Linked DNA regions of Canis lupus familiaris. The protein of the gene in region 2 purifies or fractionates together with the protein of the main gene of each other region. This does not show direct contact. Links are inferred from orthologs where the notes say so. Each region holds a gene or a part of one and is shown on either strand. Other genes may lie near its edges.

Evidence for each region.
Region 1: the proteins of RBPJ (region 2) and RITA1 purify together in Homo sapiens (affinity purification with mass spectrometry; 4 studies listed by BioGRID and IntAct, with this or other methods). This does not show direct contact. The link is inferred for Canis lupus familiaris from reciprocal best matches to the Homo sapiens genes RBPJ and RITA1.

Annotation. Positions count from the first base shown.
Region 1 is NC_049247.1:10,900,903-10,903,834, reverse strand, and holds the end of RITA1 (RBPJ-interacting and tubulin-associated protein 1), read right to left. Parts: intron 1,562-2,932; coding exon 1,054-1,561; 3' UTR 501-1,053; downstream 1-500. UniProt on the Homo sapiens protein: Tubulin-binding protein that acts as a negative regulator of Notch signaling pathway.
Region 2 is NC_049224.1:84,661,693-84,665,349, forward strand, and holds part of RBPJ (recombining binding protein suppressor of hairless), read right to left. Parts: intron 1,349-3,657; coding exon 1,208-1,348; intron 183-1,207; coding exon 27-182; intron 1-26. UniProt on the Homo sapiens protein: Transcriptional regulator that plays a central role in Notch signaling, a signaling pathway involved in cell-cell communication that regulates a broad spectrum of cell-fate determinations.

The DNA of each region.
Region 1 (2,932 bases), on a different chromosome or scaffold from region 2:
GGGCTCTTAATCCCAGTGCTTCCTGAAAGTGCATCAGGGCAGGGGGGCAGTGTGATGGGGACACAAAGAGGCCAAAGCCTGGCCTCCACCCAAATCTGGCAGGATCCTGGGATTTGGGGTGCAACTCCACCCAAGCAAAGGCTTGCTGTTTCTCATGACCTGACCCAGGAGGTGCAGGTGACAAGGAGCAGAGCCGGAGAGCAAGGTGCTCCTGGACTGCTTGTACCTCAGTCCTGAGTGCTCTCCAAATACATGTTAACTTTCTGGTCTTCCTGGGCTTCGCCACTTAGCCAAGTTCTCGTTACTCCGTCTTTCTGGAAAATGTGAAAAATGTATGAGGCCCATGTTGCTAAACCTCAGTTGTCAACTCCCAAACTCATGATTTCTGCCATTGCCTTATTATATATATATATATATATATTTTAACTTTGCTATTTAATTCAACCCAGGCCTATATTGGCCCTTGCCCTAAGGAAAATAAAATTAGTCAAAGTCATGGCTTTGATGAGCTACTGATATATTTTTAATATGTGGAAATAAATACAAGATTATTAAAATTTTTAAAAATGTCCACCCATGAGTCACCCAGATCCTCTGTTCCCCACAGGCCATACACTGTGCCTGGGAAAACTCCAGACTCAGCTGGAGACTCCTCCTGAGCAGGAAGCTTGGCATGAAGGAAGAAGGGACCCTCCTAGGTTGGCAAGCACACCATTTATTCACACAGGTGACAAGACAAGGTCGCAGGAGTGATGGGGGACTGGTGGGCACCCCTGGGTTGGCACGGCCTGTGGCTAGAGCAAGACTGGTACAGGCATCTCAAGGGGCAGCCGCCGAATCCGTCATTGGGTATAAGGTAGGGAGCAACCGGTGCTTAAGGAAGGCACTGCCTCCTCCCGCTATGTCTGCCCCCAGGAACGCTTTTCCAATGCTTCATGGTTACCTAGGAGACTCTGGTCTCTCTAGGGGCACCCTCAACCAGTGCCCTCCTCTGAAACCGTGCTCCGCACTGTGACCCCATGAGCAAGCTCGAGGAGGGGAGGACCAAGGAACTCATTTCCAAGGGGGCTTTGGTTTCTGGGTGGCCCCACCCCGTTGGGGGGCAGCTGGCACTGAATCACGAATGGAGCGGGCCCTAGGAGTCACTCGGGGGCTCTGGAAGGTCACCCCTGAGGGGGAAGGCCGGGAATCCCGAGGCCCATTGGTGTGGAGGGCGCTGGCGGGTTGGCGACCAGCGCTGGGGGCATTCAGGTGTGTGAGGGAATGGGAACGTTCCCGCCTCAGAGGGTGCGGAGAGTCCAACCCAGCCATAGACAGCTTCCGGGAGTCTGCTGCCACCTTGGGCTCTGCCTTCAAGGGACCAGCTGGGTGAATGGCTCGCAGCGGGGTCTCCCGGGAGCGGGATGAGTGGCTGCCCCTGGGGGTGGCTGGAGGTGTCCAGAAGAGGGCATGGAGTTTAGCAGCATCACCCTTTGCCATCCACGGGCCCTCCCAGCTAGTGCCCTCCGGTCGGGAGCCAAACAGTGACTCATCACAGTAAGAAGGAACGTGGCTGATCAATCTGGCAAAGGGAGGAGAAAGGCAGTGAGCTGGTGGAATGAACAAACCCTAAAAACCTGAAGCCCCCACCCCCTGCCAGGCACCCACAGTGAGGCCACAGCCCTCCAGTATGCCACTACTCCTATCTCTGTTGGTTTCCCCTGCCAAGAATCCAATCCCCTGCATCCTGACCTCCCCATTTTCCCAACAGATGCCCCAGGCCCGGCCAATTTGCATATTCCATCTTCCTGGCCACACTGATTGGCTTGAGAATGACCATATGACCCATCCTGTCCAAGGAGCACCTGCCTTAAGACCTTTGTTGAAACTACCAGGAAAGAGGTTTGTCTGCCATCTGGTCTTGATAATCCAGCAGGATATAAGGGCAAAGCAGCTGGTGGCTGGCTAGGGTGGAGTGGGGTGGGGGGGGCAAGCTGCCTTAAGAGGGAGATGGGATCCAACAATAGTTTGAGCCCCTCATAAAAGAGACCCAAACATCCTTTTTTTGCTGAAGCCAGTTTGGGTTAAGTTTTCTGCCACTTGCATCTAAGAGTCTGGGTTAATATAACCTTAATCTTTACAGTCTTTACTTTTTTCATACCCCACCCCCCAATTCTCCTTCTCCCTAGTGGTCTTGTCAGCTGAACCCTCTGCAGTCCTGTGGCCGGTCTCACTGTATTTGAAGTAACACAGCACAGTGCCTGGCACAGAGAGGGTGCTCAGTTTGAACTCCTATTATAAAGCTGACCTGGCCTCATCACCAGAGAAGCTTTTTACATTTTTGAATATTTACTGAGGGCTCTTCATATGCAGGCCCAGAACTCAGCATGTCACCGTGCATCATCTCATTACTTTTCACAAACATCCACAGAAGGGAGATATGATAATTCCATTTTACAAATGAGAAAAGGAGGCATAGGGAGGGGAAGGCCCCACAGCAAGAAAGAGGGTAAAGACAAGATTCAAATCCAGCCTGGCTCAAGGGCCCAAGCTCTGGGATCAGTATATCAGATATAAGGGACTTCTAGGCTTCTCACCTTTAATTAGATTCACTCACCAATTATTTTTTGTCTATTAATCTCACAAATATTCACGGCACACCTAGGAGGCATCAGCTCCATGCCTTGTAGTCATGACTGAAAGTGTTTCTGTGTTAAGACTGCAAGTCTTTGAAAAGTCAACTTTTTGCCATTTGATTTAATTGCTCAAACCGTATCTGCTTGTTGCCTATGTCTGCCTGGAGCCAAAGGCTTTACTTAAGAGCATCTCTCTCTCTTACGCATCTTCTCATTTGACACCCTCTACTTGTCAGCATCCTGCATGAAATTCTACCCTCCAGGAGAACATGGAGTTGACGTCCCTTGTCCTGGACACCATACCTCTGTTAGTACAC
Region 2 (3,657 bases):
GTCAACGTGTGAGGAGGTGGTCTTACCTGAAGACTTTCTACGACAGGCACAGGGGTGACGGGGGCAAGGACAGGGCCCATCCCCTCATAAAACGTATACTCCGCCTTATCCGTACTAATGATTGTCCAGGAAGCTCCATCATTTATCATCTCTTTATTTGGTTCTTTTGGGCATGGAGTGGCCTTACAAAGAAAGAATGTTCAGAAAGGCAGTATTACATACACTGCAGGGTAAGACAATTCTAACAAGGTAGCACTCAAACACTGGACTTAACAGGGGAAGAGTTTGGTAAAAATTCATGAACATCCCAAACACGGTGCTTTGCCAGTCCTTAAACACAAACAGAATATTTAATACAGCAACCTCACATTCAGCAGCTTTTATTATAATATGAAATATTTTGGTGACATTATTAAAAATGACACCTTTCACAATGACCATTTGAGAGTACACCGGTACCTGAAAACATCAGTATTTGTGGTTTAAGTAGCTATTTAGAAGTCTTTACGGGGCCCTAAGAAAGAAACCAGGCGCCCCTGATGCTTAGAGGCAGTTAGAAACTCGTGCAATTTCAGCAGGAGGGAACCAAGATGTGAACTGGCACTCGCCTATCCCTACCTTAAAACACCCAGACCAGCCCATCAGCTCTGGCTGAGGAGAATGGCTGCATGTGGTCATCTCTCTGAAACAGGTCTTTAGATGTTTACAAATGAGTTTCACATCAAAGTATAATTATCCTATGCAATGGGATACCCATGTCATACACGAAAGACTTCTGAGTGAACACAGTAAAAAATGAGCTTTCGAAACATCTCATCATTACGATCTTGGAAGACCCCAATGTAAATCTAGTAATTATGAACCCTCCCCCAAAGTACACGTGTATCTATATATGATGTCTTCACACAGTTTCAGGAGATTCATTGAACAACCAAAATCTACTTTTGGATGATCTGAGGAAAACTTTTCGGTTCCCAGAACTGCAATTATTTCTACAAAAACATTGTTATAGTTTTGAGTTCTTCATTAAGTTAGGGTGACTGCCATATCTTAGGATCACGTAGGTTAAGAACCACTGGACTCGAGATAAATATGGGAGAACAGCTTTGTGTATTTGGGTACAAATAACATTAAATGAGAGTTTCCTGTTTCTGTATGCTGTTAAGCAAAGAGATGGCACATTTTTACCAATAATTTAAGAACATACCTGAAACTGGATTATTCTTTCTTGAGAAAGGCACAAGTACATTCTTTCTGTATCCTTAAGGTAAAATGCACATTTATGGAGTTGTGACACAGGATCATCTGCATCCAGTAATGCGGTCTGCTTATCAACCTTCCTAATTATCTATATTTCAATGATAAAGAAAAAAGTCATCACATATGGAGAGCTTTCATTATGTACACTGCCAGGAGTACAGAGAAAGAATATGCTATAATAATATATCGCAGTTCACAAAGACATTCACAAACAATGAGGTGAAGTGTAAAAAACACTTTCAGATCATAAACATAGTAGAATGTGGAAGCGGTTACCTTCTTCTGTAAACACCTGAAAAATAGGGCAGGCAGCTACTTGTTTTCCGGATCATTGCTTTTCAAACTCTGATGTGCATACAAATCTTCTGGGATCCTTGTTAAGAACATATCTGTTCTAATCCCACAGATCTCATGGGGGCCTAACAGTCTGTATCTCTAACAAATTGACAGCTGATATTAATCCTGCTGGCCAATAGACCATATTCTGTGTAGCAAGTTCAGTGGACTCTTCCAATAATATACAATGACATCAAAGGAAAACCTAACTCTAAAAGAATACTATGCGTATGCTAGTCAATGCAGTCCATTATCTATAGATCTGTTTTAAAAAATCTAAATTAAGTATCATTTTGCGGCTTAGGAAGCGGGCTCAAAATCACCTGGTTGGAAGCTGAAGGACCAGAGTGCGATTCCAGGGCTGGCTGGCTGCCTGCCCAGCCTGAGCTCTATTATATTTTATAATTCAAATATTTCACAAAAAGCACAGATGAAAGAGAATCCTATCAAGTCTGAGATGTCACTTAACCCATAGAAGGTAATCACTGAGTGTTTGATGATTATGAAGATCACTCTCAAGAGCACACAAACATGTTACAGAACTATTTCTCATCTAAAATCAAAAGTAAAGAAAATCCTTCCTTGACTACACATCCTTCTCCCTCCCTTTCTACTCCATTTCTTTGCTTATGGCAAACTCTCATCCTCACTGTCCAATCTCCTGAAGTTAACTTCAGCCTTTTGTCTCAAAGTCTCCACTATAATTGCCCTTGTGGAGAGCCACCCAGGACTTTGGGAGAGATGAATCCGTAGGTATCAGGAGACATCTGTCCTTAGCTTGCTAGCTTTCTCAGAAGCACTGACACAGCTGTCCTCCTTTTGGGGACAGCCGTGCTCTAACTGGCCTTCAGAGTACCCCAGGGCCAAGTCCTCAGACCCCTTCTCCTTCTTCCATCCTCTTTCCTTTCTGCACTACTTGGAGGTTGGCAAATCCTAAAGTTTTATCTCCAGCCCTAGGCTCTCTTCTCTGGCACTCATATATTTAGCTAGACTCAACAGTTCCACTTAAGATACTGAATAGGCTACCAAAGTCTTAATCAAAACACCAAATTTTAAAATTCCTCCTTTGCATGATCCTCTTCCAACTCACAGGTCGATAAGCAGCACCACCATTCACTCAATCTAAAAACCTCAAGTCACCCTCGACTCCTTGTTTTCTCTTACACCGAATCATCCAATCTATCAAAAAATTCTGTTAAGTCTCCTTTCAAATAAATCTGTCACCTCTTATCACCTTACCACTACAATACTGGTTTAAGATGCCACCACCAGCTCCTGCCTGAATTATGACAGAAGCCCAACCACTGTCTCTCTGCTCCCACTGCTATACCCCATGTTTTCCTCCTTTCACAGAGCAGCTGAAATTACCCTTCTAAACATAAACTAGCCACCAGGCCCTGTTTAAAACCCTCCGGTGGCCTCCTAGTATATGTAGATAATATCCCAATTCCTGCCACTTGTTCCCTCCATCCCTCTCCCCAGCTCGGGCTACCATGGCTTCATTACTAGTTCTCTCACATTCCCATCTCAAGTTCTTTTTGCACTTGTGCTGTTTGAAATGCTATTCACAGTCTGTGGTTCCCAACTTCATCCTGGTCTCTGCAAATATCCCCACTCCAAAGATTTCTCTGACCACTCGAAGGACTCCCCTCAGTCTGTATTCTCTTTATCCTGTTTTAGCTTTATTTTCTTATCACTTGTATTAACCTTTAATATTTTAATATGGGTGTTTCTTTAGCTGATTTTTGTCCATCTCTCTAACAAAATGTAAGCTCCATGAAGACAGAGAGCCTGTCTTGCTCACCAATATATTTCTGGTGTCTGGCACTGTCAGGACTATTTGCAGGATGCACGTATGAATGCAGGATGTAATACTTTGCTCCACAATGAACATCCTTAATAGTAACTACTCAGTTTTATAAGGATTAAATCAACATATGTAGAAGTACTTAGAACAGTACTATCAATATCATGTGAAATTGTTGGCTTTTATTACTTTAAATCTTAATATTCAAAGATTCTTCTTTAACTAAGCCACAATAGTAAAAAAAAAAAAAAAAA